Linked DNA regions of Cricetulus griseus. The protein of the gene in region 4 purifies or fractionates together with the protein of the main gene of each other region. This does not show direct contact. Links are inferred from orthologs where the notes say so. Each region holds a gene or a part of one and is shown on either strand. Other genes may lie near its edges.

Region 1 (4,061 bases), on a different chromosome or scaffold from region 4:
CATTGATTACCACTATGGGTTCTCTAACACTATCTAGAGGTCCTATGTAGACCAGGGATGGGGTAGGGAGGTAGAGGCACATGGGAACTTCGTGGGGAGAAGCTGAAGGGGAAGGCTGGGGTGAAGAAGAGGACAATAGGTGCCTGTGAAACAGAAATGTGACACCCTCTTCATCGTGATGCTATCCTTGAACCAACAGCATCTCCTGGAATGCCTCAAGCAAAACCAGCACAGGTATGTTGAGGCAGGCAGCACAGGGCCCCAACAGAATTGGTGCAGCCAGTGAGGGCGGTAGAGGCCCTATGTATTCCGGATTCCTAGGGCTTGCTCTAACTCTTGCCGCCTCTGCTGCACCTGAAGAGAAAACAGGAGTGGAGCTTGAGACATCGAAAAACCCAACACCCCTGACATCCATTCAAAGGTACAGACTCCTGTCTTTTGTCATCTCTCTAGTGTGCCCCAGGCATAGCACCAACCTTGGAGTAGAAGTATCGGCACACAGCCTCCTGAGCCCAAGGCTGGAAGTAGAACTCAGCACGGCGTTCCTCTTCTGGGTTACCTACCACATCAGTCATAGTCTGAGAGAGAAGGGGAGAAGAGAACAAGCATGATTCCTGCTTCCACATCTGCTCTTCAGTTGAACTGTGTCCCTTGCCACCTGCCTCAAAGATGCTGAAATTCTTTTTTTTTTGTTTGTTTTTGTTTTTTCGAGACAGGGTTTCTCTGTGTAGCTTTGGAGCCTATCCTGGCACTCGCTCTGGAGACCAGAGTGGCCTCGAACTCACAGAGATCCGCCTGTCTCTGCCTCTCGAGTGCTGGGATTAAAGGCATGCGCCACCAATGCCCGGCTAGGATGCTGAAATTCTAATTCCTCTGTGCATGTGACCTGATATGGAAATAGGGTCTTTACAGATGGTCAAGTTAAGATAAGCTCATTGGGATTGGCCCTAATGCAGTATAACTGGTGCCCTTATACAGGAGGGAAATATAGAGACAGACACAAAGACACAATGAAGACACATGGAGAATGTCTCAAGCCTAAACTGAGGGACACCTGTGGTTCCCAGAAGCTAGTGGAGAGCACAGAACAGCCCTGTTGATGCTCTCCTTCTGGACTTCCAGTCTCCATCACTGGGAAACAAACTCCCATTGCTGAAGCTACCAAGTCTGGGTCAGGCTTCTTTAAAAGCCCCAGCAGACAAAGACAATACCCCAGACTACCACAGAGTCACCACCAGGTGCAGGCCCTTTCTGGTGCTCCTCTGCTCAAAAGTGCACTAGTCACAGCAGTCACAGCAAGGCAGGACGCCAAGGATGCTGCCCGGGTACACCTCCCTGCCTGAGCGTATGATGCTCTTCTTTGGGAAGCATCCTCAACTCCATTCTCCATGGTCTCCCAGGGATTCTCCATTCATCTACTACTCTTTCTTTTGAACAACTTTACTAATTCCAGTTAGTTTGCCCATGGTTCACTATTTTTAGTAACAGTAGCCTATTTTTTCCAAATGGAACACATCTGTGGAAGAGGAGAGCCCAGATCTTCAGCTCTAACCCAACAGCCTGGAATCAAGTGACAATACTTTGGAAGTATTAACTATAGACCTGATGGTTCTGCCTTGATTTCCCTTATCAACTATAAAACAGACCCTGGGATATGCTAAAAGAATGTGGTCCCTTAGCTCTTCAAACCATGCTGCTCTCCTGGATTCCCTCTGGGTCCTTCCTAGGCTCTTTACCTTGAGGTCCCGGCACTGGGACTGAAGCCAATCATTGATGAAACCTTGAGGGTCTCGGGCAAAGCTCAGCATGAACTCTCGCTGGGTTTTCAGCTGGTTGATAGTTTCTATTGTCTCATGGATCTGAAAGGAGAATGGTCCATTTTTAAGCCAGGGAAACTGCAAGCCAAAGGCAGACAGAGGCTGACATTGCCACAGCTGCTCCCACCCCAGGTGCAGAGCCTGCTGCCCTGTGTCTACTTGGTGCCCTCACCCTTGGCTTCTTACAAAAAGTCCTGTGTTTGCTTCTCTATCCCAGGTAGGGGAATTTGTTCTTTCAGCCAATTCAATATGCATCACTACAAACTGTGACTACTTTATCACTGGCAGTCCAGAGTGTCATGTTCCAACAAATCAACATGCTTTCTTGGCATCTCAAGACACCCTAAAGGGACCCCCCCCAAAAAAAAACCTGGTCATCCTTCCCCTAATCCCTCCTCCTGATCTTAGTGGAGACTACTCTCTACCCAAGCCAGGTCTTCTCTCTTAGGCCCACCCAAACAGGGGGTACATTCCTTCATTTCACTTTGATTCTCAAATCCTATCTCTGTCCTCCCTGTCTGAGCCTTTAGTGTAGAACCTTGACATATCTCACACAGACTATCAGTCTCGCCTCCGAAATAGACTTGCTCCAGAGCTGCCCCTCTTCAACTCTCTCCACCCATCCACTAACACAGACAGCATTAGTACTTCCATGGTGAAGGCTTCTATAGGCTCCGTGTCGCACCTGCAGGAGGTATGCACAAGTTCTCCCCATACAGAAGCTTTCTGACCAGGTTCCCACTTCCCTAGCAGCCTCCTCTGCCTGAACATCACACCGGGAAGGTAGCTCATGTCCTGTCCAGCATGACACATGAGAGAGTTCTGCACTTCTGGTTCTGAGGTAGTCTGTACTCCTAACTAGCCTGCAGCTCATTATGTACACAAGACTGGACCTGAATTTGTGTTGCTTCCTGCTTCTGCCTCCAAGTGCCAGGGTTACAGAGTGAACCACCATGCCTGGTGTCGCTTGTATTTCTGGGACCACACCAGGCTCATTTTCCTCCTTGGGTTTTTACATACCTTATCCCGTATCTCTCTGGATTGTCCTCGGCCTTCCACACCCCAAACACCACTTTGCTTCCTCCCCATCTGTTAACTTCCACTTCATCCTTCAAAATTTACCTAAGGTGTCTATTCTCCCAGGAAAGCCTCTACATTATCTATGGTATTTACAAAGCACTTTGGCTTTGCCTGCAGGGACTATGCCTATAATGTTAATGGTAATGATGGTGGCAGCATCAACAGCAGTGGGAATTATATGCTGGGTACAGGCTCAAATATTTAAAAACATGGTCTCATTTCATACACAGAGAAACCACATAAAAACAGGTATCATACATAGTCTTCATTTCAGATACCAGAAACCGAGGCTCAACGATACTAAAAGGTATTGCCCAAACTGGGCACAGCAGCTCCTATCTGTAACTCAGCACTGTGGAACATGACATAGGAATATCATCCATGAGTTTGAGGCCAGCCTAGTCTACAAGGGAGAGACTGACTCAAAATGCTAACAACAAAAACACAAACATCCAATAGTCAGAATTAAATGTATGCATGTGAGCTTGCCTCCAATTACCACCAAACATAGCGATAGCCTGACATAGATGGTTCTGGGTATCAATATATTTTTAGTTAAAACCAAGAACCAAAAGGCAGTTAGAAGCCATGACTGAGGGATGGGGCCCTACCTTGTTGTCTAGAGTAGCGATCTCCTGCTGGCTGGCCGTGGACAGCAGGAAAGAATTCATCTGGGTCTTCAAAGTGTCATCCACTTCCACATCAATGTCATAACAAGCTGTCTTTTTCTGGTCATTTGGGTCAACACTGGGGAGAAAACAACAGGGTCCAGTAAAGGGCTTTTTCTGAGTTCCTGCTTGCCAAAGGTCAGAAAGATGGTCTAGGGATGAAGGGAAAAGGAAGATGGTCTACATCCTCCTCTGAGAGCTGTATGGAGTATGCACCTCCGAATGCCTGCACTTTAAATAGGTATAATTTATAATATACAAACTGTAACTCACTAAATTTGGTTTTTATTCTATTTACTTATTCTGTGGGAGTGCATTTGCCCGTGCACACTCACTATGTAGGTGAGAGGACAATTTGTGGGAGTAAGTTCTCTCCGTCTATCACGTGGGTTCCAGGTCATCAGGCTAGGCAGCCAGCACCTTTAACCTGTTGAGGCATCTTGTTTGTCTGAGTTTGGTTTTTAGAAAGTCACTGGTAAAACTCCAAATACCACCA
Region 2 (4,061 bases), on a different chromosome or scaffold from region 4:
CAATTTTCTAGAGTTGTAGAGAGAAAATATTTCGAGCAGGAGAGCAAAGCTCATGAATTAAGAGCTGGCTTCAATCCTGGTACCACCTCTTGGGGCAATGATCCTGGGTGAGTCTTCACCTTCACCATAGTGTTAACAGATTATATGTTAATAGGATTCCTCAAGATCCATGAGAAAATGCTTTAGTGTATCATCCTTAGTGAGGTCCTAACACTAGCTAATGTCACTGTTCTGCTTTAGTGTATTGTCCTTGGTGAGGTCCTAACACCAGCTAACTCCACTGTTCTTCTTGGTTACTGAGCTAACCTTTTTGAATAGTGTAATGATCATCATAATGGAAGATTAAAACACACAAAATGAGGGTAAATTTTATTAACATTAGAGTTATTCTGTAATTTAGTCTGATTAACTATCATTTTATTTAGAGTTCTTACAGACTCCAAGAGGAAAAATCAATCAGACATATATAATCAAAATGAATTGAGAAGTTCATATATAGTAAAACTTTAAAAAATTAAACATTACATTATGTAAGTGAAAAATCCCAACATGTGGAGTTGGGACTTAGAATTTTCTAACACTCAGTGGGCATTCCTGTCAGGTACATAGATAATAGCATCTACCATGCAAGGTGAAACTGCATATACAAAACTGAAAAAAAAAAAAAATCCTTACCTTGAATGCTAGAGTGAAGAACTGAAAACTGTTTAATAAATAAAGAGCACAACAGGGAAGTTTGCGTAGACATGAGCGGACACCATAACTGCTTAAGTTGAGACATGATTCATTTAATGTTTCCAGACAGCATTTCAATGAAACAAACAAGACAAAAGGACTCACCTGTGGGACCACACTCTGTATGTAGGTTGGTGGATGCTGCTGCTTTTGCTGAACAGCACTTTCTATTGCTACTTTAGCTACAGTGCTTGGATCCGCTCCTGCTGGTACAGCAACCATTGTTGCACTGCAGCCAGCATTGTTGGGGTCACTGATTGTAACAATTCTAACTCCTACTTTATTTGGAATTCCTGGGACTGCTTCCCTATCATTATCCTCTGCTGGCCTCTTTACAGTTTTGCATTCAGCTGTGCCATTTGTAGACCGAACATCAGTTGATAGGGCAGAATGGGACACTCTAGATCCTGAGTGGGGAACTGCTAGGATTTGATGCCCCTGTATAACAGGGGTTGTAGAATGTGGTGAAACAACTACACTTGGGCGTTGCTGAGGCACATCTGAATTCAAACTTGAAGCTAGAGGTCCGTTAGACAAGTCAGTACCACTGAATTGTTGTGTTACCACACTTGAAGCTTCCTGCATGCTGCTTGTGGACGGTGACCCACCCAAAGTTAATACAGGTCCATTAGAAACTCTTTCTAGTTCATCACCTTTGGCAGGATCTTGCTGAGTAGCATCTGAAGTCCCTTGTGGTTCTACTGGAGATATCTCACCATTTCCTACATGATTAGAAGTTTTGTGATTTGGAATGTTTTTGCTTAAATGAGAACCATCTCCTTTATCAAAATCACAGATCCCATTAACGAGGGTTTTTTTCAAATCACTTTTGATATCCTGCATGTCCATTTGTTCTGAGTTCTGTTTTCCAGATGCTCCATTCTCACCTAATTCCAAGGATGGCCCATTACTGATTAGTGAGCACTGAATAGTCTCACTTTGAATTTTCCCTGAGTTTGAAGGAGGTAGACTCGAGTCACTGTACTTTCTCCCATTTAAAAGACTTCCCACCTGTATTTCACTTTCACTTGTATCCCCATTGCTGGTGTTTATGGTTCCTCGTCGGCAGGATGGATTCTCCATGACTTCAATTTTCCGTTCATGAACATGTAAACCTGTTGCTTCCTTTGCTTCCTCCTCCTTTTGGCAAATTATCTTGTCGCCTTTGAATGGGGGGGTAGCAGTGGTACATGGTGATTGTCCGGCTGGAAGCGTTTGCACCTGAAGTCCGGCTCCTGCCTGTGCTCCACTCATGCTAATTCCTGCTGGAGCAATGAGCTGAGCTGCATTTCCCTGACTCACAGTCGCAGTTGCAAAACTGGTATTTGGCACAACTGTTATGGTTACCTGGTTGCCAGAAGTCCCTTGGAAAATGGTTGCTGGGCTATTTGAGATCAGTGGACCCGGCAATATTTGTAAGTTCGAAATGGGCACGGTTTGCACTCCCCCTGTTGGTGGCATAGCACTTTGGACCAACTGAACATTTTGCTGTCCAACCAATAGTTGCTGAGCTGGAGTTTGCCCCTGCACTCCAAAACCAGCAGCTTGGTTATTGGCCACCTGATATACCACCTGAGGGCTAGGAGCTCGTGCATTGTTAGGGGGAGGAATCTGTGGTGCTGGGAGGATAAGCTTACCCCCTGGGGTTGAAGGACCCCGCTTTGGAAGCAGCAGCTGTTTGATCAAACTAGACTCATTGGAAGCAGGCTGAGCAACCCCTGCATTTGTTTGCTGAGGCTGAACTTGCATCTGTACTTGCTGTGGCTGTTGAACTTGTACCTGTACCTGCTGTGTGGGAGGTGCTGGTGAATGCTGCTGCTGTTGCTGCCTTTTCACAGATAGCATTTGACTGACAGTAGGAGGTGGTCCCTGCGATTGCATGGTGGAAGAAGATGACATGGCAGTAGGTACTTGGTTATTAGTAGCTGGGACAGGTGATGGTGAAGAAGATGGAGTTATGTTTGGTTGTCCAGTTAGCTGAACTGTCTGACCAGCTGGAAGAGCTGCCGGATTAGCAAGAACAATTTGATGAATGGCTGGTGCGTAAGTTTGACCTTGCTGAGCTGGCTGGCTTACAATCACTACACTTTGCTGGGTTGGCTGCTGTGGTTGTTGAATAGGCTGCTGTACCACTGTTGATGAAACTTGCTGAGAAGGAAGTGGTTTGGGTGCAATGTTCTGGAATCCAACCCTGGAGGGCTGTGGACTTGGAACACCAGCTATGGTGACCACCTGTCCTGTAGCTACCTGGAAATTCTGTACTGAAGTTGCTGACACAATATTGGATGCAGAAGTTGTTACATACTGTGGGGGTGCTATGATAACAGCGTCTTGTGGCTGGCTACCAGCTGCTGTCTGTTGAGATGAAGTGTGCATAGGTTGTGGTGATGTGGTGATTAACTGTTGACCCTGTGAAACTGTAGATGTACATGCTGGTATGTTCTGTACTCTTCCAAATATATGACTCTGTGGTACAGTTTGCTGAATTACTGTAACAGGAGTGCCTGAAGGTATCTGTCCCGGTACCACTGTGTGTAATGGAGATGGTTGTGGCATCACAGATGGATGGTGAAGCAATGTCTGAGAATTCACAACTGTAACAGGTTGTGGCCCTGTACTATGATTCTGAACCACAGAAGTCTGTGCAGGTCCTCCTCCAAGAGCAACACTCACAGGAACTGCTGTCTGGGGCAGAGAATTCTGGATTACTGTTGCTTTAACGACTTCACAAGGAATTGGGGCTTTATTCTGAATGACAGTCACTGGAGCATTTTGTTGCTGGTGGGTATGAACTGAAGGATTTGGTGGAATTCTAGAAACAGTCTGTGCCACAGTATGAACACCTTGTACTGGAAAAGACATTTGTGTTGCAGTCAAATTTGAAGATTGATTGGTAACAGGAGTCCTCTGAAAATGATTTCCTACAGCTTGTGATCCATGAGGGATTCCTATATATATGGGGAAAAATAAAAGTTACAAGTAAAATGACTGTAAGATGTCAAATGTCTTATTATCTAATTTAATACAAGAGGAAGGGTGTAAAGAAATTAATGCCCAAAAGACAGGAAACATTAGAGTATGGTGACACCCATGAGAAACACTGTAAACAGCACAGGGCAAGGCCATCACTTAATATACAAAATACACATTTACATTCTAGCAATCCTTAAAACATTGAAAAACTTGGGGATACTGCCATTTGTCTGTAATCCCAGCTTTCAGAAGGACCCCAAGTTTGAGGCCAGCATGGTTTGTACAGCAAGACCTGACTGCATATATAATAAATGAATATTAAAATTGAAAGTTAATACCTGCAGGTGAAGGTG
Region 3 (4,061 bases), on a different chromosome or scaffold from region 4:
CAGACATTGAAGCGCAGGGGCTGCTGGGAGCACTGCCTAGGACTGGGCTGGCCTTAGGATGTTTCACTCACCCTTCATCTACCAAACACTCCATTACTCAATTCATTAATTCATTTTTTAAGTTTTTTTTTTTTTTTTTTTGAGACAGGGTCTCTCTAAGTAGACCAGGCTGGCCCTGAACTCACTGAGATTCTCTTACCTCTACCTGGGATCAAAGGTACATAGCACCACCCCTAACTGAACTACAGTTCTAATGAAAACATCTATGAATAAATTACAATAAAGTGAAAATAATTCACGATGTAAAGATTTTAAACAAAAGCATTAGCGGGCTCTATTGTCTGTGGGCCTACTCCTTAAATGTATACTACACGATACCTCAAATTTATTGTAATTTTTCCAGAAAATGGGAACACTTTTATAAAGACAGTACAAGTTACATTGTGACGTAACAGGCACATGATAAAGGCAGTCAGTGAATGGAATAGGTACCCTTTTAAGCTCATTATTAAAGGAATCCGTGCTTTCCAGGAATTTCCTCTTCTTTTCCTGGTGTCGCTCCTCTATCTGAAGGAGTTCAGCTTCTAGTTTTCGCTGCAAGGTATCAGACCAGATTATGAACCATTATACGTTTTCTCTAAGGCAGATGTAAAGCACACAGAGAATGTCATTTTAAAATTAGCTTATGCTTTAAAGTACACTTTTGTATTTTTAATTATGTGTATGTGGTATATACACAAGAGTAGGTGCCCAGGGAGACCACAAGAGGGTGTTGGGTTCCCAGGAGCTGGAGTTACAGGTGGTTGTGAGTCACCTCACACAGGTTCTGGGAACTGAACTCAGGTTCTCTGAAGAGCAGTATATACCCTTAACCACTAAGCCATCTCTCTAGCCCACTAATTTTGCATTAAAAAAAAAAATCATCTAGTATAAAATCTAGCTATTATTTTAAAAATGTAACACAGGGAAAGACTACCATTAACACTATGTTAATGAGTAAATTCTTTGGGAAAATCATTTTATAGTAATAGAGCAAAGGCTGATGGGGTGCCCCCAAATTCTTTAGTTTGCACCCATCTTTTAAAAGATATACTTGTCACTACAATGTTATATTTACAATTTTCAATGACAAACTTACTAAACATCTGGAATGGCCCTCTCCCTTAAGCTTCTTTCTCAAGTCAGGCACGGATGACACGACTTCACAGGTTTACTTACACACTGTGTCAGAGCCATGTCACCTGGGATGTGTGGCACAGCTTCCTTTTATTATAACAAAAGCTCTTCTGCCCTTACCTGATGAACCATTAAAGACTGGACCTGTCTCTTGAGGACCTGCATTCTAGCTGTTGTGACAACCGACCGCACATCAGGCACCACACTCTCACTGAGGATCTCACTGATGAGGCGGTGGTTTCTCTGGAAACGGGCGGTGGCTGTATGCTTCATCGAAAAGCCATCATCATAATCTGGATGAAGGAAATATTCTAGAAATTAGGTAGCCAGTAACCACAACCATGTTAAGAAGCAGTTATCAAGTGTGGTCTTCAATGTCCTAGCAAGTGGACTTGCTCAGTATCAGGGGAGTAGGGCAGGTCCACAGTTAGAACCACACAGAGACAGAAGACTCAGCCAGCTGAAATGTTGTCTCCATAAAGTTAGTAAGGCAGGATTCACAACCCATGGGTCACAACCCCGGGTTGGGCACCTGAACGACCTTCTCACAGGTTGCATATCAGATGTCTGCACTGTGATTTGTAACAGTAGCACAATTAGTTATGAAGTAGCAACAAAATAATTTTATGTTGGAGGTCACAAAATGAGGAAGTGTATTAACAAAGGGTTGCAGCATTAGGAAGATTGAGAACCACTGTACTAAGGGATGATTTGAGTCTGAGGTTTGGTTAGAACACAAACAACATATGTCCATATCTCTTTTAGCCCTGGGATCCATGTGAAGCCTGCATGTGATGACAGCACTTGAAATTCTGCCAAATATTCCACTCTCCAGTAATGACCGCAGACATCTGATAAATGCTGAACTGTAAATAGGTGGTATCTTTATCACAGCTGTTAAAATTAATGAAAATATCCACCTGAAAAATTAGCTTATCACCATCTTCTCTAGCAATATTTTGTTTTCCAGGCAGTACTTATGGTTTATTACATTAAAAATGGTAAAGACCCAAACTAATGTTATAGAAAAAACAACAACTTGATTTCAAGGCTAGGAGAGGGTTCACTTGATAAAGGGTTTGCCAGGCAAGCACGAGGATCTAAATCTGGATCCCAGCCAGCATTAAGGAAATGCTGGTTGTGGCAGATTTCAGAAGGCTCTAGCTAAAACAGCAAGTTCTAAGTTCAGAGAAACTCTATCTCAAAGTAAGGCAGAAAAGAAACTGAGGAAGCAAACTGACTCCCACATATGCCCACAAAAAGGTGGAGACTGAGGAAGAGACCCAACATCGACACACACACGGACACACACTACACACTCAGAGATACTTGAGTCTAAATTTATAAACATGCACATGGCTGTTACTAGGCACAGAGTAGACATTTGTGTTATTTTGGTGTGTGATGCATGCATGCCTGTTTCAGCCTACTGGACCATCTCTTGAGCCCAGGGTGTGATTTTTTTTTTTTTCTTTTTTTTTTCTGACACAAAATTTACTGTGTAGCCCAGGCTGGCTTTGAACACTCATCAGCCTCCCTGCCTTAGTTTCTAAAGTGCTGGGATGGCAAGTGTGTACTACCATACCCAGCATGTATGCGTATTTCTAGTAACACAAGTGTTTCCTTTATCTGCTTTATCACCTTCAATACCTGGTAGCCATCTGTACTAATAGCTACTTAATATTTTTCTTTACATTAACTCACTAAACAAAGCAAGTTTTCCATCCAATATAGATAGAAATAAAGGTTGTCACGGAACCACCCAATCCTCTTAGTGTCTCACAGAGGTCTAGGTGTCACGCTTAAGGAACCCAGTTACACAAAGGCCTGCACGTTGAACATAATGGTCTCTGAAGACCTTTACCGTCTTGGTGAATCAAGCTCTGCCTTGTGGGCCTTCTGATAGTTCTCTAAGAAGTTAGCAGATGCTGTCCTCATCTCTTGATGAGTGGCTCCTATCTTTCGGTTTTCTTTACATTTCTACTTTTCAAGTCCTAGAACAGTGGTTCTCAACCTATGGGTCTTGACTCCCTGGGGTGGGTGGGTGTGTGTGTGTGTGTGTGTGTGTGTGTGTGTGTGTGTGCGCGCGCGCACGCGCGCATGCGTGCGCGTCAAAGGACCCTTTCACAGGGTCACATGTCAGATGTCCTGCATATCAGATATTTATATTACAATTCATAACAATTATGAATAACAATAACAAAATAACTGTAATTCAAAATTACAGTTATGAAGTAGCAATGAAATCATTTTACGGTTGGGGTTACCACATAAACTTTACTAAAGGGTCAAAATGTTAGAAAGGTTGAGAACCACTGTCCTAGAAGGTCATATTATATCAATACAGCTTAATTATTATATTCCATGTTACTGCTCATGTAAGAGCCTTTCAAACTTAGTTTTGACTGTTACATTTTGCTTAGGAAATATTTTATTTTCTACATATGGCTTCTATGTTGCCAACCTTTGTTTCTACCACATAGATCTCCATTCTCCCAGTTATTTGCAGACTTGCTCCTCTATAGTTTTAGTCATGTCTTTCTTGCATCAACTATTTCATCTGGGTAATTAAAGTCTGCATATATCTTTAGCAATGTGAATGCTTAACACTCAATTCCTGTTTCTAGTCTACATTTTATTACATTCTACTGCATTTATGAGAACTTTTGCCAGTAACTCCAATGAATCCTTTCAAAGCTCACTTCCGATTCTTCCTCTTACTTAGCTGAATTTACTCCTGTCTTGGTGCCATTATAACCTCCTCCACTCTTTAAATCTTTTTAAAGTTCTGAAGAACTCCCTCTGGTGTGTTTAAAGTGGGATCTTAAATTATGATCTTGGTGTTTTTGTGGCTGGTAGTTGCTGCTTCCAATCCTGTCCAGCAT
Region 4 (4,611 bases):
TGGCTTCTTTTATTCAAGATTCATCCCCAGGGGCTGGAGAGATGGCTCAGAGGTTAAGAGCACTGACTGTTCTTCCAGAGGTCCTGAGTTCAATTCCCAGCGACCACATGGTGGCTCACAACCACCTTGAATGAGATCTGGTGCCCTCTGCTGGCATACAGGCAGAAGACTGTATACATAAGAAATAAATAAATAAAAATCTTTAAAAAAAAAAAAAAGACTCATCCCCACTGTTGGGCATAGCAGGACTTTGATCATTCTGGCTGTTATATCTGTGTCCATGGTATAAACAGGTTGTAACTGGTTTTTCATTCCATTCTGCTGAGGAGTTGCTTCCCGGTTGGTGTTATGTGTATACCAGTACACATGTCTTGGTGTTCATATAGAAGCATTTTGTCCTAGTGAGGTTTCCATTGCTGTGATAAACACCATGATTAAAAGCAATTTAGGGAGGCAAGAGTTTATTTCAGTTAACTGTTACAGTCCATCGTGAACGGAAGTCACGGCAGGAACTCAAAAGCAGGAACCTGGAGGAAGGAACTGAAATGGGGGCCATGAAGGAACGCTGCTTACTGGCTTGCTCCCCATGGCTTTCTCAGCCTGCTCTCTTAGAGTACCCAGGACCCATCTGCTCAGGGGGTGGCATTGCCCACAGTGGTCTAGGCTTTCCCACATCAATTATTAATCAAGAATATGCCCCACAAACTTACCTATGGGGCAACACGATGGAGGCATTTTCTCAATCAAGGTCCCTTCATCCCAGATGGCCCTAGCTTATGTCGAGTAGACAAAAAACTAGACAGCACCCATTTCTTCGGTTGGGCGTTGACAGCTTGGGACTGGAATTGCTGGGAGACCGGGTTGGCATAAGTTTAGCTTCCCTGGAGAACTGCCAGTTTTCCAAAGTATCTCTACCAATGACACTCCCTGACTGAAGGAATGTCGAGGTGTTCTGCTACCTCATCTACACGGTCTGTCTTTTCCACTTCCGCCATTCTGGCTGAGGAGGCCGCTCCCCACTCGAAAGTCTGCCACGCACTTGGCGCTGTTAATGAGACTTGGATGAACGGGTGAACAAGTTAAGTTGGGCAACGTAGGATCGAACAGCCTGGAGAGGGCGGACGCACGCACACACAGCATTTCAGGGACGCCCACCCGCCGCGGACGCACACCAGGACAGTCCCTCTCGCGCACCCCTGTGCCCACGTGGCCGGAACGCACCGCCTCGCTCGGGCCGCGCGCGTCCAGCCGCACAGCTGCCCCCCAGCTCTCCCTCTCGGCGGCGGGCAGAGGGCGCTGTGCGTCCGTGCGCCCCGAGGGGCGGGCCCGGGCCGGGGCGGGGCTGGCCGGGCTTCCAGGCCGGGGCTCTAGCCGCCCGCGCCGCCCGGGCCGCTCCGGGGACGGGCCGGGGCGGGGCGCGGTCGCAGGAAGCCAGGCGGGGACGCGCGGAGGCGTTGGGGAGCGAGGGAGGGCGCGGCCAACTCCCGGAGGGACGGCAGGCCGAAAGAGCGGCGCCGGGGCCTGGCGCGCAGCCTGAGATCGCCGGACCGCAGGCCGTCCCACCACGGGCTCTATCCCGGCCCCAGCCCCGCCAGCATGGCCGGCCGGACCGTGCGGGCCGAGACCCGGAGCCGGGCCAAAGATGACATCAAGAAGGTGATGGCGACCATCGAGAAGGTCCGGAGATGGTGAGCGCTGCCCCTGGGCCAGGGACACAGCCAAGCCACCTCCTCCTAAAGCGTCCGCCCTTTCCTGGCCAGCTGCCCCCGCCCACCAGCTGTGCTCTGAATCGACTGGGCTCCCCCTTCCCCTGGCAATTCCCAGAGGTCTACAAAGCGTGGTCCGGAGTGGTGCTTTCCCAGAGCGGGAGCCCTCATCTATGCCCCGCCCCCTGGAGCTTTGACACTCTTGCAAGCTCGGCCCCGGGTCTTCCTTGCCAGAGTCCCTGGCCCAGGCCTTGGTGGCGCCCTGCCGAGTGCTCCAGGTGTCTGCAGAACCGCAGCTCTAAGTTATATCCGTCTATGTCCTGGGCTTTGCAGGGCTCTTTCTGCTTCTATGCCCTGAAAGCGAAGCTTCCCTTACCCTAGCACATCTCCCCGGCCCCCTGCTGTATGGGGCTCAACCTTCACCTCCCTGACCGGGTCTCCTGCCCTCTCACAGGGAGAAGCGCTGGGTGACTGTGGGTGACACTTCCCTTCGAATCTTCAAGTGGGTTCCTGTGGTGGATCCTCAGGAGGAGGTGAGCAAGCCCAACCCCCAACAGACCTTGCATCTGTGCAACCTCAGGCAATTTCCCTCCCCACCTTGGCCTCCACCTTAAGTCGCTTGGAGTCTCCAGTGTGGAACTCAGGCAGATGGTAACGATTATTAGCACACACACATGCGCGCGCGCGCACGCACAAATACATACATACATACATACATACACACATACACACACACACACACCACACACACACACCAGTGCGCCCCGCCCCCCCCCCCGCGCCCCGAGTTCAAGACCTAACTCAGCCCACACAACCTGAGACAGCCCCTCTTGCTTCCCTGAGCCCAGGTTTCCTTATTTATATTGAGATTTGTAAGCGCTCACCAGACAACGGGCTCTTACCTTACCACTCTAACCCTCAGGAGAGGCGTCGGGCAGGAGGCGGGACAGAGAGATCCCGTGGCCGGGAGAGACGCGGCAGGGGCACCAGTCCCAGAGGGGGTGGCCCCCTCATCCTGTTGGACCTCAATGGTATGTACAGATCTTGGAATGGGGAGGTAAGGAAGCTACTGGGGCCCCTCTGGCCAACAACTCGGCTTTTGCTTCAGCAGATGAGAACAGCAACCAGAGTTTCCATTCAGAAGGTTCACTGCAGAAGGGCACTGAGCCCAGCCCTGGGGGGACTCCTCAGCCCAGCCGTCCTGGGTCCCCGACTGGACCCCCAGAAGCTATTACAGAGGATACTCAGCCCCCACAGTTGGGCCAAGAGAGAGGTAGGACCAGGTGGCTCTCAGGAGCCCTCTCCTCTTCAAAGTTGAACCCACCATCTTGTTCTTGTTCCTCTGTCATGTCCTTTCTCCCCATCCTGCCCTGCCCACCCCCAACCTTCCCTGACCCTGGCAGAAATTACATCTAGCTGCTGTTTCAGTCCTCTGGCTTCTTAGATTTGTAGGTAGCACATCACCATCTGAAATTTTTATGCATATTTATTTCTTTGCTTGCTTATTGTCTTTTCCTGTTACCATCTCATGTCAGTCATGCCAATCTCGCTCATTACTGTAACATCAGAGTACTGTGGGATACATAATAGATGTTCAGGAAATACTTGTTGGGGGAATAAGTGATTCTGATGATCAGAGAGATTAATAGCTGTAGAGTAACGGCTAGCAAAGCCCCTTCCCCGCTAGGTGTTCTGAGCACTTCAACGTTTGTTTTTTGTTTTCTCGTTTAATCTTCACTGTCACTTTATGGGAGGATGATCCTATTACGATTGCTCTTTATACACGAGGAGCCCGTCATCCAGAGAAAGATGTCCAGACTCACAGAGCCAGTGAGCCAACACCTTGGGCCTGAGCCCTCTTCAGCCTCTCTCTTCATATAGTCGGTCCTTTGTCTGGTCAGTACTGCTTCCCAAGTGTGGCTGATTTCTGTGCCTCGGGCCCTGCCTTCTCACTTCTTACTCTGCCTGCTCTGGCCTCCCCGCCTGTCCCTAGTGGTCTCCACACAGCTGCAGAACAGCTTTTCCTGAAGCACAAATTCAAATGATTATTTTTCTGCCTCATCTCTTTCAGTGGCTCCACATGGCCTTTGGTTCGTTTTGTTTTGTTTTGTTTTGTTTTGTTTTGTGGAGCGGGGTTCGAGGCAGGGTTTCTTTGTGGCTGTGGAGCCTGTTCTGGAACTCACTCTGTAGACCAGGCTGGTCTCAAACTCAGAGATCCACCTGTCTCTGCCTCCTGAGTGCTGGGACTAAAGGCGTGCGCCACCAACACCCAGCAGCCTTTGGTTCTTTAGTTTGACACTGGGGCCATACAAACCGTTACCACTGAAATCGTTCCCCCGACAAGAACACCACGACATGGGCGGGCCTCAGGACCATGTCTAGATTGTTCCAGATACCTTTGCTAATGTGAAATGATAGGATGCAGCTCAGTGGTAGAGAGCTTGTCTGACATCCTCATTTCTCATACCACAAAAATGAATGAATGGAAATGCTAGCTAGCACCTACCGAGCACATACTATGTGCTAAGGGCTTTACCAGTATTGCTTCATTTCATCCTCATAGCCGTCTCTTGTGGTATTACTGTCACTGTTCCCATTCTGCAGGTGCTTTAGTTGAGGCTCAGAGAAATAGTTTGCCTAAGGCCAGGATTCAGATTTAGTACAACATAGAAACTGTGGTTACTAAGCATAGAATTTCCCTCTACCTAAATTCTGCTCTACCTCTGCTTGTCTCCTGGCTCACTCCTTATGAACAAAATCCAACCTGAATCTTCCTCCCTGGGCATCTTGGTGCCCTCCTCTGGCTCCTACAGTGTTGTCTTGTGTGATGGGTGCCTGCCCGTTTCTTTTGCCCCCTGCCTGTTCTCCCAGCACAGAGTGGCTGCTCAGGAGCTGTCTGTTCATT
Region 5 (4,839 bases), on a different chromosome or scaffold from region 4:
CGGTGGCAGAAGAGCCTCAAGGCTAGCAGATGAGGGAGGGTTCCCACGCAGATCATCACTAGAGCTACCTTTATAGCCCTGGCTGCTGGTCAGCCCACCGTGAACCAGTGTCTGCCACACCATCTGAACAAGGCGTTCTCTCTAAACCTTTCACAGTGACAGTGGGCGCCTGAAAGGGCAATGACAGCTAGGCACACTAGCAGGACCTGCAGGAAACTAAGGTGCTGGCCCAAAAGACTCCTGGGAGAACATTCCCTCTGTTGCTTGTCCTGGCCAATGAAGACATTCTGCAGGGCCAAAGGTTAGGCCCCCTCCGTGCAATGCTGGGTCCTGAGGGCTCAAATTTTAATGTGTTCCCACAAATTCCCTCAGGCCTTGTCCCTCCCTCATCCTAGTTCTGACAGCTGCCGTCCCAGGAAGCCCATAAGTGTGACCCTTAGTTGTCCCAAAGCCTGCGGGCTCCTCCTCCAGAAGGTGGGAACAGGCGTGGCTTCTGGCATGGGCGGGGCCTGAGCTCAGCCTAGGGATCTCCTTTCTGTTCTCCCTCCACTCGGGGGTCGGCCAGTTCTCTCCCTACGGTCCTTTCCGGGGCTCCCTCATCCTCTCCCACTCCACACTCCTGCTTTCTCTTCGGTCCTGGAGCGGACCTCAGCCCCCCAGCCCCCCTGGGTCTCCATGCCAGAGCCACCAAACCTTGTTTGCTCACTCTTTCCTCCTTACCCACCCAAGTACGCATCCCGGCTCGGCACGATTCCCCACACTCACTCTTCCTGTGCTCAGGAGCCCAGTCCATGTCCCCTTTTCGGAAAGACTTTCCCCGGTTGCCCTCACTTTCCCACACAGAGGCAAACAAAGACTCACGAGCCCAGAAATAGCCTCCCTCCGAGCTGGAAGGCACAGGCCGTGTCCTGCCCCGCGCGCACGCACGCTCGCACGCTCGCACGCGCAGGCACGGCGGCTCCCGTGGAGGGAGCACACCGGTGCCCGCACATAAACATCCACACCCTCGGCCGCTGCGCCGAGCCACAAAAGGGTGCAGACACGCGGAGCGCGAGGCACGGGCACACCCACGGCGGCCGGCCCTGGACGGCTGCAAGGCCCGCTCCCGGCTCGCCCGCCCCCCCGCCCCCGGATTCCTTCCAGCAAATGTTTCCCTACTTGGCCTGCCCGGTCCCTGGGGAAAGGGCCTCAGAAATGCTGCAGGAGCCACTTGGGGGAAGAAAGTTGGAACTGCCCGTTCTCTGCCTGGCCCTGCCGGCGAATTCCCCAACCGAGAAACTGTTTGTGGAGAAAGAAGGCAGGGTGGCGGGCAAGCCCCCCCCCGTCCCCTCCCTAGACTGTCCCTCCCCGTGCCGCCACCGGCGAGCCTCCGGCGGCCTGGGCGCTCGCTGCCCGCCTCGCAGCCGCTGGGCGGACCGGCCTGGCTCGCCGCGTCTCTGCGCCGTTTGGACCACGCGGGTGCACGGGAGGGCTGCTGTGTCCCCGCGCGTCGCAGGCAGACCCCGGGCCGCCGGACTATTTCTGTCTTATCAGTGCAGGAATGCGGCAGCCGCGGCGGCGGCGGCGGGCGGCGGCGGCGGGCGGGCGGCGGCGGCTTGGGCCGTGGGCCGTCAGGGCAGCCCTGAAGGGGCCCCCTCCCCACTCCGCTCGAGTAGAAGTGTGAGAGAGCCCAGCAGGACTCAGAGGGGAGAGTTGGAGGAAAAAAAGGCAGAAAAGGGAAAGAAAGAGGAAGAGAGAGAGAGTGAGAGGAGCCGCTGAGCCCACCCCGATGGCCGCGGACGAAGTTGCCGGAGGGGCGCGCAAAGCCACGAAAAGCAAACTTTTTGAGTTTCTGGTCCATGGGGTGGTGAGTGGGGGAAAGTTAGCGGGGGAGGGCGAGCGAGCTGGCTCGGGCTGAATGGAGGGATGATCGGGAAGGGCCGCCGGCGCGCTCCCGCTCTCCCACCCCTTTGGTTGGGGGGCGCACGGTCACGGCCCAACCCTGGGACCTTGCCGGCGCCCTGGCATCCGAACACGTCGCCAAGCGGTCGGCTGGGGATGGGCGCGCGGCGGCAGGGAAGAGAGGCGTCGGCTTGGGCTCTTGTCAGGGGCAAGGGGTGGGATGTGGGCACCGTGCCCCCCAAGAGGTGGGTCCCCTCTGTAGCTGACACGTCGCCCGTTCTTTTTTACTGGTGGGCCCAGGTGTTACCCCTGCCCTGGGGTGGGGGTGGGGTGGCGACTGGAACACACAACTAGGGTTGGGCTGCCTGTTGTCCTGTTCATCCACAGGGGCAGTGTCACTCTGACTGGGTCTGAGGAACTAGGAGCAGGTGACCCTGGAGGCACCTGAGAGCAAAAGCTCCCTGGCTGAGCAACCTCTGCAGCCTAGCAGGAGGGTCCTGAGGACTTGGCCCTGCTGTCAGAGCTAAGAGAGGCCTACTTAAGAGATGGACCCCAAGTTAAAGGGGTCAGGGGATCCCTTGGCAGGCTCAGCCACCAGAAGTTGATGACCTTAATACCTCAAAGGTGTGAAGGGATGGAGTTGGGGACATGAGGCCTAGAGATCAAAGGGTTAACACTATAGTGTCCTGCCACAGACATGTGAAGGCACACGAGGGACCTGAGGGTTCCAGGGACCTGAGGAGGGAGATGACTGGGTTGAGTCAGTGGAGAGCCTGGCTGTAAGGCGCTCCAGGCTTGGGGATATGTGATAGAGGGAAAAATCAGTCAAATTTACTATGGCCAAATTTGGTTGTGACTCCAAGAAGCACCTCCTCAGTGAAAGAGGCAAGGGCCCCCAAAACCTTGACCTCTTGTGATTGTGGTGCTGGTGGCAGAGCCCCTGGAAGCCCCTTCCTCTCAGTAAACCAGACAGTGTGGGTGGCCTTGATGAGTAGCAGGGCAGCTGATAGGGAGGAGGGCTTCCCTGTGGCAGCCTGCCCTCTAGCCACAGGGATCTCTGGGGTGCAGTTCCCAAGGCAGTCCTGTGGGTTAGTGGAGTTACCAGTCCTAACCTAGCTGCCTGGGGGAGTTGCTTTACAGAGTCCCATTCAGTGAAGAGGAGGCTGCCCATGTGGATTTGAATATGGCCAACTTGGAGGGTCAGTCCTTGAGTGATCAAGGCCCCCTTATTAGTAGTGGGGAATGACTAGGCCTGGCCTTCCACCCTGGTGGCACTGGTGGTATGAGTGACAGAGTCAGGTGGAATGGGGGAGGCAAACTCAGGAACTGGCCGGTTACACTACAGAAGAGATGGCCAGGGACAGCTGCTGGTAGAGGGTGGTAGAGGGTGGAGACCTTTGGTCTGAGCAGTCGGGGTTTCTTGGTTCTGGGGTGAGATGAGGAGTATTTTGTATTTGTTTATTGTGTATTGAGGCAGGGTCTCCTGTAGCCTAGGCCTCGAACTCACTATATAAGGGAAGATGGTCTTGCTCTTTCTGTCCCCACCTTGAGATTGGGATTACAAGTGCAGTTTCTTTGGTGCTGGGAATCGAACCCTGGGCTTCACATGTATTGGGCAAGCACTACACCAAGCTACATCCCTAGCCTGAGATGAGGGTGTGTAAATAGTAGGGTCTGCACCCCCACATCACCTCCTTGTTCCTGGTTAGCCCCTAAACCTCAACTCCCTTTCCAGGCCTGGACAAGTGGACTCTGGAACACCCCGCTTGCGTTTACACCTCTTCTGTTTTGATTGACTGCCCAGAGGTGGTGGCTGGGGAAATACAACCTGCCTCATTTCCCTCCAATTTGTACCCTTACTAGGATGGGGTGGGTACTGGGTTCTCTCTCTGATGTAGGCAGATGGGAGGGAGATGTGGCTTCCTTCAACCATCCCTGCCCTCTGGCAGCCCACTTCTAGTCCAGTTCCCCACTTGCCACTCGGAAAAGCTCAGACCCTCGGGTGCCTTTGCCCAGCCTCTTGTATCACCTTGGGAGAAATGAAATTAAGGAGGCAGACTAAGTCAGAGACCTGGAGTCAGCTGAAGGGGTTATTTGAACACCAAGGGTCCAAACCAGGGGTGCTGAAAGGGAGATGGGGGCTCACATACAAAGCCCCAGAAGTGGGCTGTAGAAAGCAGGAAAGCAGCGGGGAGCAAGGCCCGTCAAGGTGCTGCCTTTGTCGGGATGAACGGGGTGACCTTGGCGAGGTCGCTTTTTCTCTTTGAGCCCCAGTTGCCCCATCTGTCAATTGGGGATAAAAAAGACCGGCTCTGGCTGGCTTGCAGAAGACCGTGCCTGCCGATGTGAACATCCTTTGAAAGGTTGAAAGGCGCCATTAATATTCATTTTTGCGGTACCTTGCACGGCTCCGAGGCTCGGCTATGCCCTGGGCAATTGCCTGGCTTCAGTTAGCTTCCTGCAAGGAGCCGGCGAGCCCCCTCCTCCAGAGCCACGCAGATTCCCGCGCCCCCGCCCCTCCCACAATCACTCCCACTCCTCGCTCAGCGCAGGGTTACCAGCCCCGGGTCTTGGAGAGGGGCGGGGACACAGCACGCTGGCCTGGGGGTCGGGACCGAATCTGACCTGTCGGCGCCGGTTTCTGCTTCACCTCCCGCCCCACCCCACCCCCCCAGCGCCCCGGGATGCCGTCTGGAGCCCGAATGCCCCACCAGGGGGCGCCCATGGGCCCCCCGGGCTCCCCCTACATGGGCAGCCCCGCCGTGCGACCCGGCCTGGCCCCCGCGGGCATGGAGCCCGCCCGCAAGCGAGCAGCGCCCCCGCCCGGGCAGAGCCAGCCACAGGGCCAGGGCCAGCCTGTGCCCACCGCCCCCGCGCGGAGCCGCAGGTGAGTGCCCCCCCACCGGCGTGGAAGGGCGTGCAGGGGCGGGCAGGCAGAAGCCTCGGGGACCAGGTGGG
Region 6 (4,061 bases), on a different chromosome or scaffold from region 4:
TCATGAGATAAAACATTTAGCACTTACCTATTTTAATAGGTTTCCCCCCTTTCTTTTCTTATAGGAGGAAGTTTTTAAAAAGTCATAAAGTTCAGCTAGATGTGAGGTGGTGTGGGGAGATGTGTGTGGGGTGGGGGTGGGGACTCTAAGGTATGTGGGTGGGGCCCTAGACTCTAACTTTCCTGGCTAGTCTGGGAAAACCTAGGGAATGGCTCCCCAAATTCCAACCTTTAAAACTCACACAGCCCCTAGGAAAACCACCCCAGTTCCAACGCTGCAAATCTGCACGACACCCAGAATTGTGGGGAAAGGAAGGAATGGGATCTTCTAATGTTTGTGCTCTCTGGTACCACATACAGGTAGAGTGGTGTGTTCCTCCAGACAGAGTGGAGTCCTTCACAGTTCTCACTGGGGAATAAAAGCAACAGGATACCTGTTTCTTCCCCAGCTCTTCTCAGTTGGGTGCATTTTAGTGAGGTAAAACCTCAGGGGCCTCACCTGTAGCACCACACTTAGCTCAGAAAAGTAGAAATAAGGTCACTTATGATGCCTTAAGGTGTCCCCGCCCTCTGTGACTGTCTCCTGCCCATCACCAGTTTTGTTTGTTTGTTTGTTTTTTTTTTTTTTGGTTTCTATTAACTGAGGATGCTCTCCTTAAAAACAATAGGAGAAGAAAGGATAGTAATTATTGAGAATTATCCACTGAAGCATAAGAGAAAACACAGAGAGACATACAATACTAATGTCAACAGGACCTGCAGACCAACTGCCAACACCTGGCACACGGCTTACTTTTCAAATGATCAGGGCACACTAGTCACCACAGGCTTCTCACTGAGTACCAGCTAAGGACTTGATACAAAAAGTACTGGGGAGTGGAGAGACATGGGACTCATGCTTGGGGCTGTGAGGAAAAAGAAAAAAAAATCCCAAAAGAAAACCAAGGAAGCTGAGACACAAGTCTTGCCATCCCCATTTCAGCTTGTGGTGGGTGTGGAGGCTCCCTGTATCTTCCAGGTTAAGGAGTGGCCGAGGCTGGAGGGCCTGGAGCAGGAGGAGGAGGGACCCCGTCTGCAGGTGGAGGCTGCGGCTGCTGCTGTGGTGGAGGAGGATCTGCAAACACATTTAAGGTAACTCGTCACTGTTGGGAATATGGAAGGCCTGAGAAAGCATCCACTCAATGGAAAGTGACAGATAGGTGGGTTTTTTTGGGGGTGGGGTTGAGGGTATAAGATTTTACTATGTAGCCTTGGCTGGTCTGGAACTTGCTATATAGACCAGATTGGCCACAATTTCAGATATTTGACTGCCTCAGCTATAGTGCTAGGATTAAAGACAAGTACCACCATGCCTAGCTTAGGAAGTAACTTTCTTTGTAGCAGGCAAACAATGTGGGCTCAGAGGTCAAGTACACAGCAGCCAACCAGCTGGTACTCATGGTGCTAACAAGTAGTAGAGGGAAATGTCGGAATTCATTCACCCTTCTCAAAGGACCACTCATTCCAAGAATCACTCCAGATCTCCCCCAACTGAATTGTTTTTCCATTTTATTGTATTCTAATTTTTCTCTCTACTAATTGTGTTTCTTCAATTAAATAATCAGAGCCTTCATGGGCAAACTCTATATCTTTATCTTTCTTTATTCCAGGGTGTCTGGCCTAGCCAGGCACGGGAGAGATTATCAATAACTTCTTGCTGATTAACTGTTTCCACCAGGGCCACAGAAGTTCACTCAGGCACCTGCTGATGAGCTGGATAGTCCTGGGAGGCCCTTACAGCTCCTCAACTGCCATCCTTGGATTTCTGGCCCAAACTAGGTCAGGTCCTGAAGGGAACAATTAGCATGAATGTCTGGGGTTCTTTTCTATTTCAACTCTAGCAGCTTTAGCGTACAAAGAAACCCTGGAGATCATTTAATCCAAGGCTTTAAAACCTCTAGATCTTGCTAGAAATGAAAACATATCAAACAAATAATTAAAGTATAGCTACAATAACCAGGCATTCACCCATTCGCACTCCTGAGAGGCTTCTAGCAAACCTCTACAGCTTTCCAAACACTTTGAATCTAATAGTCTCCTCCTTTGTGATCTTTGAGGAGACTAAGCCCTGAGGACAGGAAGCTACTCATGCAGTGAGGCCTGTCCAGGGCCCAAGAACCAAGCCAGAGGCTTTGATTCCCAAGAGACCTGTTTATCCATAAGGTAAAACACTCCATGCTCCTCCAAGGTCCCTAATGTCAAAAAACATATAGACCATTGATAGTTCCAGGGATATTATCTGTCCACCAGAGATGGTTGACTGGGCCAGCTCTCTTGGAAAGCCAGTTCTTTCTTACCTGGGACATGGCTGGACAAGCACTTTCTTTTTTTTTTTTTTTGGTTTTTCGAGACAGGGTTTCTCTGTGGCTTTGGAGGCTGTCCTGGAACTAGCTCTTGTAGACCAGGCTGGTCTCGAACTCACAGAGATCCGCCTGCCTCTGCCTCCTGAGTGCTGGGATTAAAGGCGTGCGCCACCACGGCCCGGCAGGACAAGCACTTTCTTAGCAAATTCTACTATGACATCTGAACGTAAGCTCAAGGGAAACAATTCTTCACAGGGGGCAGGTTTTATAAACTCAGTGAAGCCAAGACTTCCTTTTGTGTATCTACTTTATCTTAGCCTCTGGGATTTACAGGGAAGGTGTACATGTGTCTGTGTGAAGACAGCTTCCCTTCGAGGAAGCCCCCTGCAATGTTACAGAGCATCCAAAATATTTTGTAGGTCCCTGTAGAACTTTTATTTTCTGTATGTATCACGCATGCATACATAGTTGTGCCATAGCATGTGTAACTGTGGAAGTAAGTTCTCTTAACCAACATGCAGGTTCCCAGGAATCAAACTCATGCTATCAGGTTTGTCTCCAAGTGCCTATACCCACTCAACATCTCACCAGACATCTCTCATAATTTTTACTAAACCCTACTTAAACTTTTTAAAAGGAGATGTCTAATTTGGTTTGTTGTTCTAGAACACAGTCCATTACAGCAGGAAGTCATGGTTGCTAAGTCAACTGGTTGTATTTCATCTACAGTCAAGAAGTAGAGGGATGAATACTCCTATCAAGTTTCCTTCCTTCTTGTTTCCTACTTAAAGTTCAGGCAGGACAAGGGGTCCCCCTCCCCCCCAGACAGGGTTTCTCTAACAGTCCTGGAACTCGCTCTATAGACCAGGCTGGCCACAAACTCAGAGATCCCCCTGCCTCTGCCCTCTGAGCCAATTCACCACTTTTAACCTTGCAGCATAAAAGCTTTTGTAGAGGAAATAACAGCCAGGAGCTATGCATGTCAGTGGAGATTCAAACCAGTCAGGTTTAATCTAATCCACAGCTCACTGTCGAAGGCTGGACTGTCTGTGCTTGCTACATCACAAGAAGAGAAGAAAGCCTTTCTTCCTGATCAGCAGCCCCACCCTAAGCAGGATGCTGAAGGAATATCTTCCCACTGTGCTACTTACACATGCCATTTGGTGCTGTGAGGGGTACCCTGGGTCCTAAGATGTTTCCAGGCATTGGAGGCATACCAGGAGGGGCAGGGCCACTCCCAGTAGGATGAATGCTGGCTGCCACAGTGGGAATCATGCGGCCTGGCATGGGCTGCCCAGGCATCATGGAGCCAGGGCCCGGTATCTGACCTGTGGAGGGAGATTTAAAGTATTGTAAGTATACATGCATTCAGAGGAAAAAAAAATAACCAACTTAATGTCCATGATTATATAGATGAAGATTTATTTAGTCATGGTCAGTAGTGGTGCATGACTTTAAGCCCAGCATTAGGGAGGGAGAGGCAGGCAGATCTCTGAGTTCAAGGCCAGCCTGGTCTTCAGAGTGAGCTCCAGAATAACCAGGGATATATAGAAAAATCCTGTCTCAAAAAACCAAAAAAATATACTGGGTGGTGGAGAGATACCTTTAATCCCAGCACTTGGGAGGTAGAGGCAGGTGGATCTCTGTGACTTTGAGGCCAGCCTGGTCTACAAAGCAAGTTCTAGGACAGGGTCAAAAGCTAGAGAAACCCTGTCTTAAG
Region 7 (4,061 bases), on a different chromosome or scaffold from region 4:
AAGCAGTCCCTACAGACAAATATAGCAGCTTGAATACATGGAAGAGGTTTTGGTTTTAGGGTAGAAATAGTTTTAGCACACTATTTTATAATAGTGTGCTATTATAGCACACTATAGCATTTTTAAGATGCTTTTAACTGAGCATGAGTTTGAGGCCAGCCTGGTCTACAGAGTGAATTCCAGGACAGTCAGGGATACACAGAGAAATTCTAAAAACAAAAAAGAAGATGCTTTTAGTTCATGTCAAACTTAGTATAACTTAGGTATGATTTCTTCTCTAGCATTAATTAGACATTCAGGAGTATGTCTCATTGCTTCAACAATGAGTCAATGAGACTTTTTACTGAAAATCTGTGTCTGAATATGTAGACCTATGTGGGTGAGAGGTTGGTATATTTGCCATTCCATAGATTCTAATTTCTAGGAGTAAAGGAATATGAAAGCCATAATTGACTAAGTGTATTCTGAGAGCATGTTGCATCCAAGTTTATATGTGTTAGAATGTGTGCTGATGATTCTGTGCAGACATCAGACAAGGTTTCCCATGTCAGCCTGTAGTCAATAGAAATTTCTGTGTGTGAGATGTGACCTGTCTGCATGTCACATATTCAGGTGATAAAAATCTTGCTTTTAAAATCAAGGAATTTTTAAGGAAAAGAATGATGGGGCAGTGGTGCAAGTTCCTGGTTGTTTTTTAATCTTTGTTATTCCATAAGTATTGTAATTGAAATGTACTTAAATTGTTTAATTGCAACTACAGAAATGAGTTTAATTTCTGTTCTAAGTTGTAAATCCCAGGTAACCATAGAATTGGGTGTTTTGATACTCACTTAGCTATGTGAAGCTGATCTGATGTCATTCACAGTCTGATACATAGAGTGCAGGTTACACAGGCAACTTTCCACCTTGTTTCTTTCTTCTCTCTGTCCACAGTGTGTCATCCAGGATTTTCAAGCTTCAGTCCTTCAGGTGTCAGACTCCACCTACGACGAACAGTATGTTTTCTCTGTGACTGTACTTCAGAAATAAGGGATTTTGTTTGTTTACAAACAAAGAGTTGAAGTGTGTGTAGCCTAAAAACAAAGTATATTCTGATGCTGTTCTTAGGTATTTGTACTCTGACTCCTCACAGATTGATAATTCCTTATAGGTGGTTTATCGTTTGAATAGGGTTAGTTACTTTTTGTGAAATACTGTTTGCTGTTTGCAGAGTGGCTGCGCAGATGCCAACTGTCCACTACGAATTCCCCAATGGTTACAACTGTGATTTTGGTGCAGAGCGGCTAAAAATTCCTGAAGGATTATTTGACCCTTCCAATGTAAAGGTGTGAAGCCAATTTCATATGACTTTGATAAGGTCGTGTGTGTGTGTGTGTGTGTGTGTGTGTGTGTGTGTGTGTGTGTGTGTTGTGTGTGTGTGTGTGTGTGTGTGTGGTGTGTGGTGTGTGTGTGTGTGTTTATATGACCATTTCATGCAAAGTGTGGCTTTCCTGTGTGGAGAACTTAGACTAACTTTGGCAATAGGAATTTCCATGTGAACACTTGCACTCTCGTTCCAGGGATTATCTGGGAACACAATGCTGGGAGTCAGTCATGTTGTCACGACAAGTGTTGGAATGTGTGACATTGACATCAGACCAGTAAGTGCCAGTCTCCTGTTAAACTGTCTCTTATGGCAGTGAAATGTCCCACCCAGATTAGGGCTGCAGCTTTGGCCACTAGCCTTGAGGGCTGTTGGTAACCATGTGTAATGAGATGGACACCAGGAAAGGGGTGTGGGACCAATGACACCCAGTGCCCCTGACACTCAGCTCAGATCTTGAACTGCACTCTCTTTTCTGTGAACATGGTTTGTAGGTGCTCTACTGGACAGCGTATTCCTAGAACACTTCCATCTTTACAAAGTTTCTTTGGACATTGCTGCTTCAGATTTCTAAAATGTAGTAAATCAAAGTACACAGAAATTGGTGACTTCTTGACATTTGCTTGTAGTTTTCAGAAAGGTGTGGTTTAAAATATGCAGCTTTTACATGGATTATATTAATTATTTTTGTATTTGTTCTGTCAAGTGTTAAACTGTTGGTATACTATATTGACTTGATTATATACTGTACTTACTTAGATTAGTTATAATTTATTAAGCTATAGATTTATTTCATAATCTACTTTGTTTACAACCCACATACTACCTTGGTTTTCTTCAAGTTAATTTGCTTAACGTATGGCATGAACAGACTTGAGTGTATAAACAAAGTACTCACAAAAGGTTTTTGAGTGACCATGAAAATAATATCTTTCAAGTGACCTAGCAACCTGTACCACTTCCAGGACAGTGGAAGTGTTAGTTTAGAATTTTCAAAAACATGATTTTTTTTGTGTGTTATGTATGAAGGGTCAGTTTTGTGAACATCACACGGGTCTCAGGAATCAAACTCGTGTCCAGACACACATAGCCATCACCTGTAACCCACTGAGCTATTTTTCTGCTTTAAGTTTTGAAATTTTTTTTTTTCTTCTGTGTAAGGGCAAGGAATTAAATAAATTTGCAAGAATGGGGCTGTTTGTACTGAGATTGTTTTCTATTTACTTAATGTTAGCAGGTGGGTCCCAATTTTGCATTTTCTGTTTCAAAACTTAGATGACTTTTAGATGCTTGGGATAGGTTTTAAAACTAGGAACACAGTTAAAAGTTAAAAGAGAAGGCTGACATTTACATTTTGATAAATACATGCAAATCAGGAATAAATATATCCCTATGAATATGAAGTTGTTTTATTTGGGAGGTGCAGCCTGTGTTCTTAAATTTTTGCAACATCCCCACAAAAGAGAAAGAACAAAGGATCATTATCTCTCATGATCATAAAACAATTGTCTTATTTAAAATACCATGACTTCCAGATGAATACAGATAAGTATCAAATATACCTCTATCATTAGTTTCTGTCTGCCAATAAGAATTACAAATTGAAGAATATTTGTTCTAAGTTAGTGGCTCTGGGCTGGCAAGAAGGCTCAGTGTGTAAAGGTGCTTGCCAACAAAGCCTGTTGACCTGAATTTGATCCCCAGAATCCACATACTGGAAAAAGACCCACTTTTCACAAGTTCCTCTTATCTCTACACAAAAACTATGACATTCTCTCTCTCTCTCTCTCTCTCTCTCTCTCTCTCTCTCTCTCTCTCTCTCTTTCTCTCTCTCTCTCTCTCCCATACCCACATACACACACACACACACTAAATAAATAAATTGGGAAAACAATGAAGTTGGTAGCTGGGTCCAGCTACCAAATGATACTATAGGGTTATTGGAAACATTTGGAAATGATACGTTTCTCTTCTAGGGTCTCTATGGCAGTGTGATTGTAGCAGGAGGAAACACGCTAATACAGAGTTTCACTGACAGATTAAATAGAGAGCTTTCTCAGAAAACTCCACCAGTAAGTTTTTTCTGTTCTTTGTGTTATTTAGTTTTGTGGAATTTATTAGATAATTGTGTGCCTTTACAGTGTGAATAATATCTATTATTAATCAAGATGTCCTACGTAACACCTATTGTTCCTTTTCTATTACTTGAATCTCTTTAATGTTTATGTGTGCTGTGTGCACATGTGTGGGTACATTCTCCCTGCATGTTTGTCTGGAGGCCACAGGTGAAATTAGGTATCTTCTATCTCTCCACCTTATTGGCACACATAGACATTGACATATAAGTGGGCACCCAAGAATGTGCATTCACATACACTCACAGGGCAAATGGTAATTTTCAAAGGAGAGGAGAATCTGGAGGGGTAATTTACATACATTAATATAATACCAGGTGTAATAGGCTTTTAATGGTGTTATGTGTGTCTGTAGAAATTGTCTGTTTTTGGCTACTCCTGTTTTACACATGCTGTATGTTTATAGTTAGAAGTGCTATTTGGGTGTCTATACACTTCCATGGTTGACATCTGCCTTCACCATACTGCATTGTTGGAGATGATGCTCTAGACAGTGGTTCTCAACCTTCCTACTGCTGCGACCCTTTTATACAGTTCTTCATGTTGTGGTGACCCCTGATCAT

Evidence for each region.
Region 1: the proteins of Bcl7c (region 4) and Smarcd1 purify together in Homo sapiens (affinity purification with mass spectrometry; 5 studies listed by BioGRID and IntAct, counting the BioPlex papers as one, with this or other methods). This does not show direct contact. The link is inferred for Cricetulus griseus from reciprocal best matches to the Homo sapiens genes BCL7C and SMARCD1.
Region 2: the proteins of Bcl7c (region 4) and Arid2 purify together in Homo sapiens (affinity purification with mass spectrometry; 3 studies listed by BioGRID and IntAct, counting the BioPlex papers as one, with this or other methods). This does not show direct contact. The link is inferred for Cricetulus griseus from reciprocal best matches to the Homo sapiens genes BCL7C and ARID2.
Region 3: the proteins of Bcl7c (region 4) and SWI/SNF-related matrix-associated actin-dependent regulator of chromatin subfamily E member 1 purify together in Homo sapiens (affinity purification with mass spectrometry; 5 studies listed by BioGRID and IntAct, counting the BioPlex papers as one, with this or other methods). This does not show direct contact. The link is inferred for Cricetulus griseus from reciprocal best matches to the Homo sapiens genes BCL7C and SMARCE1.
Region 5: the proteins of Bcl7c (region 4) and Smarcd3 purify together in Homo sapiens (affinity purification with mass spectrometry; 3 studies listed by BioGRID and IntAct, counting the BioPlex papers as one, with this or other methods). This does not show direct contact. The link is inferred for Cricetulus griseus from reciprocal best matches to the Homo sapiens genes BCL7C and SMARCD3.
Region 6: the proteins of Bcl7c (region 4) and Smarcc1 purify together in Homo sapiens (affinity purification with mass spectrometry; 4 studies listed by BioGRID and IntAct, counting the BioPlex papers as one, with this or other methods). This does not show direct contact. The link is inferred for Cricetulus griseus from reciprocal best matches to the Homo sapiens genes BCL7C and SMARCC1.
Region 7: the proteins of Bcl7c (region 4) and Actl6a purify together in Homo sapiens (affinity purification with mass spectrometry; 3 studies listed by BioGRID and IntAct, counting the BioPlex papers as one, with this or other methods). This does not show direct contact. The link is inferred for Cricetulus griseus from reciprocal best matches to the Homo sapiens genes BCL7C and ACTL6A.

The regions. Positions count from the first base shown.
Region 1 is NC_048595.1:396,147,669-396,151,729, reverse strand, and holds part of Smarcd1 (SWI/SNF-related matrix-associated actin-dependent regulator of chromatin subfamily D member 1), read right to left. Parts: intron 3,645-4,061; coding exon 3,509-3,644; intron 1,860-3,508; coding exon 1,737-1,859; intron 579-1,736; coding exon 477-578; intron 355-476; coding exon 301-354; 3' UTR 1-300. UniProt on the Homo sapiens protein: Involved in transcriptional activation and repression of select genes by chromatin remodeling (alteration of DNA-nucleosome topology).
Region 2 is NC_048595.1:392,800,986-392,805,046, reverse strand, and holds part of Arid2 (AT-rich interactive domain-containing protein 2), read right to left. Parts: coding exon 4,047-4,061; intron 3,684-4,046; coding exon 841-3,683; intron 1-840. UniProt on the Homo sapiens protein: Involved in transcriptional activation and repression of select genes by chromatin remodeling (alteration of DNA-nucleosome topology). Required for the stability of the SWI/SNF chromatin remodeling complex SWI/SNF-B (PBAF).
Region 3 is NC_048600.1:113,358,263-113,362,323, reverse strand, and holds part of SWI/SNF-related matrix-associated actin-dependent regulator of chromatin subfamily E member 1, read right to left. Parts: intron 1,470-4,061; coding exon 1,297-1,469; intron 595-1,296; coding exon 493-594; intron 1-492. UniProt on the Homo sapiens protein: Involved in transcriptional activation and repression of select genes by chromatin remodeling (alteration of DNA-nucleosome topology).
Region 4 is NC_048596.1:73,056,893-73,061,503, forward strand, and holds the start of Bcl7c (B-cell CLL/lymphoma 7 protein family member C), read left to right. Parts: upstream 1-1,348; 5' UTR 1,349-1,596; coding exon 1,597-1,688; intron 1,689-2,160; coding exon 2,161-2,239; intron 2,240-2,628; coding exon 2,629-2,737; intron 2,738-2,814; coding exon 2,815-2,979; intron 2,980-4,611. UniProt on the Homo sapiens protein: May play an anti-apoptotic role.
Region 5 is NC_048601.1:97,911,487-97,916,325, forward strand, and holds the start of Smarcd3 (SWI/SNF-related matrix-associated actin-dependent regulator of chromatin subfamily D member 3), read left to right. Parts: upstream 1-1,616; 5' UTR 1,617-1,768; coding exon 1,769-1,846; intron 1,847-4,556; coding exon 4,557-4,768; intron 4,769-4,839. UniProt on the Homo sapiens protein: Involved in transcriptional activation and repression of select genes by chromatin remodeling (alteration of DNA-nucleosome topology).
Region 6 is NC_048597.1:217,698,888-217,702,948, reverse strand, and holds part of Smarcc1 (SWI/SNF complex subunit SMARCC1), read right to left. Parts: intron 3,670-4,061; coding exon 3,493-3,669; intron 1,114-3,492; coding exon 1,019-1,113; 3' UTR 1-1,018. UniProt on the Homo sapiens protein: Involved in transcriptional activation and repression of select genes by chromatin remodeling (alteration of DNA-nucleosome topology).
Region 7 is NW_023276806.1:116,635,289-116,639,349, reverse strand, and holds part of Actl6a (actin-like protein 6A), read left to right. Parts: intron 1-933; coding exon 934-995; intron 996-1,210; coding exon 1,211-1,325; intron 1,326-1,559; coding exon 1,560-1,640; intron 1,641-3,339; coding exon 3,340-3,435; intron 3,436-4,061.